Rattus norvegicus: one gene and its partner. Each later gene encodes a partner of the first gene's protein in a complex. Links are inferred from orthologs where the notes say so. Each region holds a gene or a part of one and is shown on either strand. Other genes may lie near its edges.

Evidence for each region. The genes of interacting proteins can lie anywhere in the genome.
Region 2: Pold1 (region 1) and Pold4 share a complex: the UniProt entries of both Homo sapiens proteins name them as parts of the tetrameric DNA polymerase delta complex. The link is inferred for Rattus norvegicus from reciprocal best matches to the Homo sapiens genes POLD1 and POLD4.

Annotation. Positions count from the first base shown.
Region 1 is NC_086019.1:104,164,292-104,168,149, reverse strand, and holds part of Pold1 (DNA polymerase delta catalytic subunit), read left to right. Parts: intron 1-13; coding exon 14-102; intron 103-264; coding exon 265-381; intron 382-667; coding exon 668-781; intron 782-1,026; coding exon 1,027-1,174; intron 1,175-2,844; coding exon 2,845-2,940; intron 2,941-3,044; coding exon 3,045-3,182; intron 3,183-3,702; coding exon 3,703-3,858. UniProt on the Homo sapiens protein: As the catalytic component of the trimeric (Pol-delta3 complex) and tetrameric DNA polymerase delta complexes (Pol-delta4 complex), plays a crucial role in high fidelity genome replication, including in lagging strand synthesis, and repair.
Region 2 is NC_086019.1:210,954,436-210,958,535, forward strand, and holds Pold4 (DNA polymerase delta subunit 4), read left to right. Parts: upstream 1-1,758; 5' UTR 1,759-1,881; coding exon 1,882-1,978; intron 1,979-2,253; coding exon 2,254-2,343; intron 2,344-2,536; coding exon 2,537-2,648; intron 2,649-3,008; coding exon 3,009-3,033; 3' UTR 3,034-3,192; coding exon of another isoform or gene 3,193-3,217; 3' UTR 3,218-3,428; downstream 3,429-4,100. UniProt on the Homo sapiens protein: As a component of the tetrameric DNA polymerase delta complex (Pol-delta4), plays a role in high fidelity genome replication and repair.

The sequences.
Region 1 (3,858 bases):
ACCCTTTCTCTAGGCCATGCGCCAGGGGCTGCTGATGCCTGTGGTGAAGACGGAGGGAGGTGAGGACTACACGGGAGCCACTGTCATTGAGCCCCTCAAAGGGTAAGGACCCTGCTGGGCACAGTGGGGCATTTGTCATCCCAGCACTTGGGAGGAGTTCAAGGCCAGCCCGGACTACTTGAGATCCTGTACATAAGAATGTTAAAATGTCAGGGCCCAAGGGTAGGGGCTGGGTGGGGCTGACTTCCCCAAATTCTCCCTCAGGTACTATGATGTCCCCATTGCCACCCTGGACTTCTCCTCTCTGTACCCATCCATCATGATGGCCCACAATCTGTGCTACACCACATTGCTACGGCCTGGGGCTGCCCAGAAGTTGGGGTATGCTGCCTTTATCCAGGATGCCCCCCCAAACCACCCTGAGCCCTGGTTTCACGGCTTGATAAATCAGGCTCAGGAATCAGGTCCACGGAAAGGGAGACAGGGGAGTCAGGGATTCCACAGGCTGTGGATGCAGCTAATGGAGAGGCCGGCCTAGGGGAGGCTGAAGCAGGTCCTGGGGGAGGTTTGCAGAGAGAGGTAGGCCTGGGGGAAGCTGGGGAAAGACAGGCCATGGGGGATCTAGGTAGTTCAGAAGCCCAGCCTCCTGTGTTTCCTCCTTCCCCAGCCTTAAACCAGATGAGTTCATCAAGACACCCACTGGGGATGAGTTTGTGAAGGCATCTGTGCGGAAGGGCCTCCTGCCCCAAATCCTGGAGAATCTGCTGAGTGCCCGGAAGAGGTGGGCTGTGGGCTCTGCTCTATGCTCAGATCCCTGTGCTGACTTAGCCCTGGTATTCTGTGGCTGTGGCTGTGTTAAATGAGGCGCCTTTCCAGGCGTCACCCTTGTGTCTAGCCGGCCTGCGTTCTGAGCAGCGCACAGCGCCTCTGCTATATTTGGCACCCCTCCCTGATCGGTGTCCATGCCTGGGTGCCTCCCAGAGAACCATGGTCCCCTTGAATAGCCTTCATCCCGCCTCCACCTAGGGCCAAGGCTGAGCTGGCTCAGGAGACGGACCCCCTGCGGCGACAGGTCTTGGATGGACGGCAGCTGGCACTAAAAGTGAGTGCCAACTCTGTGTATGGCTTCACTGGTGCCCAGGTGGGCAAGCTGCCGTGTTTGGAGATCTCCCAGGTGAGCCCTTGGGACCCTGATGGGCGACTGGGGTTACTGCCCTGCATTGAGGGGTCAGATGGGTCAGGGGGTATGGCAGTATGTCACCAATGTGAGACCATGCTCTGTGCCCTATGCATAGTCATCAGAGACCAGAGCACCTGTCCTTGGTACTTCTCGCTCACAGGCTAGTAGGACAGGGACTCTGTGGTCAGGTAATGTTTCTGGCTCAGTAGCTTACAGGGCTCTGCCAGTGACTCAGGTGAGGAAAGTGCTCAGGACGCTGGGTCACTGGGCTTCCCTGCCCTAGCAGCTGCCCCTCCGGTCACCTCTTCCACATCCCTGTGGAGGTGGGGGGGGGGCACGGCCAGGCTGGATTCAGTGGGTCACTTGATGGCCTCTGTCCCAAGTGTGAGGACTCTAGTGAGGACCGTGGCTAGCACCAGCTGGGACAGGAGTAGAAAAGAACTGCCCCACCTCCCTGGCCAACATGGCAGCACTGGGTTCAGTCAGAAACAGAGTAACAGTGAGAGAGTATGAGGCCTGAAGTGCAGCCATGCATGGTCTGTGGACGATCCTGTTGTGAGGGGGCCTGAGGTGCTGCTACCCAATCTGGTCATAGTCCTGGTACTTGGCTGTCTCAGCAGTGAGGAGCGATGTGTCAGGAGCACTTAGCCAGGGAGTGTCCAGAACGAGGGGGCAGGGTTTTCACAGGATGGGTTACAGGGTAGAGGCTGAGTGCCTAACACAAGCTGCTGCTCACTCCAGCTCCCATAATCCCAGAGTCCCTGTTACCTCCTCTTGTGAGCAGAGATCTGTGGTGTGACTCAAGGGCTCGGGGAAGATGAGTGCCTGGAAGGATGCCCAGGCACTCAGAGGGTGTCTCCCAGGAGCTGGGCCCCTGGCCAGGCCCGCCCGCCCGCTTGCCCTCCTGCCCTCCTGCCCTCCTGCCTGCCTGCCATCCTCACTCCTAGCATCCCACAGAGATGGGGTGGGTGTTGGGACCTTAGGCCAAAGGAGCCACTGGTAAATAACCCTGTCTGTCTCTCACACCTCTCATGGGGGAACAGCAAGCTACTGAGTCATTCCAGAATAAAATTGAGAAAAGGGAGCACAGAGCAGGTGCACAGAGACAAGTCAGGTGTGGGCTCCTCGGATGTCCCATGACCTCATGAAACCCGGGCAGACAGAGAGCATTCTGCTCGTCACGCCCCGCTACCCAGCCAGCCCCATCCCCATCTGTAAAATAACAGACATCAGGGTGTGGTGATGTCAGCCTGTACTTGCATTTGTTTGTGAGGCTGCGAGGCCGGGGGAGAGACCTGTCTAGGCTTCAGGGAGTTCAGAGCTGGGTAGCTTACACCCTATCTTGAAATAAAAGAAGACTGGGGATATAGTTCAATGGTTTAGCCCCTGCTTAAAATCTCCCAGTGAGGGGCTGGGTGTGCCCAGTGGTAGAGCCTCTGCTCACTCTACCATTCTACTGAGACCCAGGCTGCACTCCCAGAGAGGGAGTGGCTCCTTGTCCCCCAAGAATGTACACACTTTGGAGCAGCAGTCACCTGTTTGATACACCTGCCTGCGGTGTATGGTCCGTGATGCTTGAAAGTGGCAGGGGTGAGTCCTCCCCAAGCTGGATCCACTGTGTACAGCATCTGTCTTCTCACTCTCCCTGGTTTTGCTCCTAATAGAGTGTCACTGGGTTCGGGCGGCAGATGATTGAGAAAACCAAGCAGCTAGTGGAGACCAAGTACACTCTGGAAAATGGCTACGATGCTAATGCCAAGGTCAGGGCCTGGTCACACCTGCCCGCTCTCTGGGGTCCCTGGGCTTCCTTCCATGGCAGCTCCTGGGTTGAGAAGAGACATCCTTCACACATGTACCCTGGCAGGTGGTCTACGGTGACACTGACTCTGTGATGTGCCGATTTGGTGTCTCCTCTGTGGCTGAGGCAATGTCTCTGGGGCGGGAGGCTGCAAACTGGGTATCCAGTCACTTCCCATCACCCATCCGGCTGGAGTTCGAGAAGGTGCGTGTGTCCCCTGTACTTGGCTCAGTGGAGATATTAGGGGTCTTATAGATTAGCGATGATCTCTTACTACTTGCATCCCTGCAGAGGCCAACAGTGCAGTAGTGTGGGGGTCCCTAGGCTGGAAGCCTTGCAGTGTTCTGGGGTCTAGCTGAGGCCTCTGTTGGATCTGCATGTGTGTGGCTCTGGGTGCTGGACATTGCCTCCAGTCCTCACCAATGCTCGGACACCCCTGGCTGCTCATCCAGGGCCTTCTCAGCTCAGGACGCAGTTGATCCTGTCGCCTCCCAAGGCTGCAAGGCTTTATAGTGTCACCTGTCTGGGTTTCATAATGTAGGGGCCAGCTCTGGGCCTGTGGCATTGTGTCAGTGGGTTTCTGGGGTAGTGGAGAATGTCGGACCTTCTTAGGATTCATTTCACCAAGGTCAAGGGTCCTTCCTTGCCGGTTCTGTTTCTGATGGGTCTCAGGATTCAGGGTGAAGGAAAGTGCACGTGCTTACCACCCATGGGTCCTTCCCAGGTTTACTTTCCCTACCTGCTCATCAGCAAGAAGCGCTATGCCGGCCTACTCTTCTCCTCCCGCTCTGATGCCCATGACAGAATGGACTGCAAGGGCCTGGAGGCTGTGCGTAGGGACAACTGTCCCCTGGTGGCCAACCTTGTCACATCCTCTCTG
Region 2 (4,100 bases), about 110 Mb from region 1:
CTTTTAGGAGGAGTGGTCAGTCCCATAAAGCCTAGGAGCTACCCCACTATAGGGCACTTGGCCTGAGTAGACCTAATACCTTTCCCTTTTGAATAGAGAATCCTCTCTGTCCCCCTTCTCAACTCTGTGGGGTTTCTTCTCCTAGATGTGGGCTCCACTGTCCAGGAGACAGATGGAGTTATCAGACTTGGGACACCCCAGACAGTGGGTCAGAGAAAGGTATTCCAGGTCTTTGTAGTTGTGCCCGCATCTCCCTCTTCTTCCAAAAGCTAATGGGGGAAGGCTAGGCAAGAGGAGACCCTGGAGACACACCCTTCTGCCCACCACTGCTAGGCTCCTCTCTGGAGTGACCCTCCTCTCTGCCTCCACACACACGGGAGGCCAGCTGAGTGCTTCCTAAGCTAGATCTCAGAACTTCTGAAAAGGAGGGCAAAGGCCTCTAATCCATAGACCTTGCACCCCTGGAAGGAAGAACCGGATGGGCGCTCCAGAGGGTGATTAGTGCTGGGTCAGTCCCAGTGCTGGTTCCCAGACTCCCACAGGCCAACACTTTCACCCGCTGCCAGGAAGTTGGTGAGGGGGAGGTGGTAGTACGGGTGAGTCAGCGATGACAGGAGCCCCAAAACAAAGGTCATGGGTAGAAAATTGAGAGACACTGTTTACAGCAATTACCTTCTGGAGGTCTTCTCCCAGTGCCTACCATCCTCCTCTAGCTCTGAGGAGTTCTTACTCCTGCTCTTCTGTCCAGGCCTGACAACTGTGTTTGACCCTATACCTTGTAAGCTTGGGAGCTTCTAGAGCACAAGGAAGGCTAGTTAGTTACACAGTATCTGTGACTAAGAGTACTGATCACAATTTGCCTACACTTCCCACTTGCAAAAACCTCTTTTGATATCTATTTTGAATTAGCATGTGGGAGATGCTTAGAACTTGGCACATGGTAAATCCAATATGAAGGTTAGGTTTATTGAAATTATTTTCTGTTCGTGATACACATTCAGAAAACAAAAACAAAAACAAGAAAAAACAGAGCAGATCTGTCCATTAAGAACTGGGAATATGAACCCATGGAGAGTGGGGACTATATTTCTGGTGTCTTCCTTGGAATGGAATCTTCCTGACTAGCAAAGGGGACAGAGGCAGGCTGTGGGACTTGACAGCAGGCACAGCAACCGTATGCCTGGGTTGAGTGAACAGTGTCTCTGCCAGCAGACTGTGAGAAAGGAGCCTTCTGAGCGCATGGGTTTCTTCAGCAAGGTCTCCTGGGGCCAGTAGGAGCAGGGAAGGACCTGGTCAAGTCCAAACTCTCTTTGGACCTACAGATCTGATCCCACAGCGCTCTAGGGCCAACCGGCAGGAGTAAAAGGTTCTCAGGGGACTTACAAACTGGCCACGGGGATTAGTGAGGCTGAAAAGAACATTTGCCTAGGAAGGAAAAACGGGAAGTGAGAGGCCGAGGATAACTCTCTATACGTCCCTGGGGACCCAAGTAGACCAATGAGAAACCCGAGGAGGTGGTGAAGTCTGGGGCATCTTGACAGGTTCTTGGTTCCGCCTAACCCCTCCTCAATCGGAACGCAGCAGCAGCTACCCCGCCCCCTGCTTCTGCCGATTGCCATTGGCTAGAATTAAGGCCCCGCCCCGCAAAGGCCGTTTGCCATTTGCTTAGGTCTCTGATGTTTGCATGCTTGTGGGGGCGGAAGACAGGCGTCATTCCCTGGAACTTAAGGACTTCCTCTCTATGCTTGTCTGGGTCAACTTGTCTGTCCATTGCTGGCCTATCTTTCTCTGGCCCCCTCTCTCACTCTCAGCAGCTGTCTCTCACAGGCCCGCTGCCCTGCCTTTTCTTTGCCTCCTGCTCCGCCTGCCTGGGTGGCCGCCATGGGTCGGAAGCGGTTCATCACAGACTCCTACCCTGTTGTGAAGAAGAGGGAGGGGCCCCCTGGGCACAACAAGGGGGAGCTGGCACCCGAGCTAGGTCTCTGAAATGTGGGGGTGGCAGGGAGAAATGGACATGAAGTGACCAGAAAGGACTCTGTGTGTGTGTGTGTGTGTGTGTGTGTGTGTGTGTGTGTGTGTGTGTGTGTGTGTGTTGGCTAAAAGGAGAAGCTAGCATGTCTCGCACTTCCGATGAGCTGTCTGTCTGCCCGATGGCAAAGGCAAACGAGTGGGGAGATAGCCAAGAAATAGAGGCACAGCTCTGAGTCCAGGGCAAAGGCCTGGATGAGCCTGAGGAGCCACATGTTATTGCAGGGGAAGACACCCAGTCCCTCAGCCAGGAGGAAACAGAGCTGGAGTTGCTGAGGCAGTTTGACCTGGCCTGGCAGTATGGGCCTTGCACAGGTGAGAACCCCATTTCCGGCCCCTCCCATTAGGCACAGTTCTGTCATCAATGTGCCTCAGAAGTAGTCCAAGTGCCTGCCTAACTCTTGGACACCTGTTTCCTGAGACTGACGTATGTAGGCTCAAGAAACTGCCCTCTGTATTCTCTAGCCCAGACTCCCCTGCCCATCCTGACTTCTTTCCCCGGTGGTAGGTATCACAAGGCTGCAGCGCTGGCATCGGGCAGAGCAGATGGGCTTGAAGCCCCCCGTAGAGGTGTACCAAGTGTTGAAGACACATCCTGAAGACTCTCGCTTCCAATGCAGGTCAGGACAAGCTGGGACAGCCTTCAGGGAAACCAGGCACTTCTCCAAGGGTTGCCACCCTCTTGGTCTATGTAGGGGCTGCCTTGACTTGGAGAAATGGGTACAGACTTAGAGAGTCCTTCCTGACAAGCAAAAAGGGTCTTCTAGGTGCCTGGCTTGAGACAGTTCTCTACAATGACCTTACCTCTATGAGCTAATGGTGGGGGAAGAGTATATCTAGGGCCCATGGGGCTATCCATGCATACTGGGGTGTTCACCAGAGCCACAGAACGATAGGCAATAGTTACGAACTAGAGATAGTCCATCAGGGAACAGAGCCAACTTGGTTATGCATTCCTTCTCCCACCCTGTCTTCCACAGCCTCTGGCATCTCTACCCACTCTGAGGTACCACCTAGGTTGTCCCCTTGGCATCTCCTAGCCACCAAGAACTTCAGGGCAGACATCATGGCTTTCTCTGATCACCATTCCATTTTTGGATAACAAGTTAGCAGGCTGACTTTGGAGGTCTTCCTGGTCCAGCTTCTTATCTGTCTACACAACAGGCTACTGAAGCTCCTGGGGACCTGAGAAGCCGAGCAGAGCACCTCCAAGCTCTAATCATGAGCACTAGATGTCTGCCACACCCTCTCTGACCTATGGTGTGGCAAATCCAGCACAGTCTGGCATAAAGCCAGATGTAGTCAGGGCCCACCTAGGGCATCTTGCTGAGAACACAACTGGCTGAGTTCTTAATCAAAAAGTTCACTAATGCTTACAATAAAGTATATTAAGCCTGAAATCCTGACTTTAGTCTCTTAATATGCCCTACTCTAGCTGGCAGTTCCCAAAATGTAAGTAGTCTGGAGAGCCAGCAACAGCTTTTTATTTTATTTTATTTTATTTTTTGGTTGGTTGGTTGTTTTGAAACAGTTTCTCTGTGTTATCCTGGTCCTGGAACTTACTCTGTAGACTAGGTTGGCCACAAACTCAGAGATCTTCCTGCCTCGATTCCTGAATTTTGAGATTAAAGGGTTTCAATATGGGGGGGGGGGGAGAGACACTATGATCAGAATGTAAAGTGAATAAATTAATTAATGGGGAAAAAGGTCTCATAATATGGTCCTGTCTGTCCCAGAACTCACTCTATAGACCAGGTTGGTCTCTCTCTCTCTCTTTTTTTTTTTTTAAAGATTTTATTTTATTTATATGAGTACACTGTTGCTGTCTTCAGACACACCAGAAGAGGGCATCAGATCCCATTACAGATGGTTGTGAGCCACCATGTGGTTGCTGGGAATTGAACTCAGGACCTCTGGAAGAGCAGTCAGTGCTCTTAACTGCTGAGCCATCTCTCCAGCCCCCAGGTTGGTCTCTTAACTCACAGAAATCTACCTGTCTTTGTCACCCAAGTGCTGGGATTAAAGGCTCATGTTTCTTTCTACCCCACCAGGCTTCCGTATCTATTTTTCTA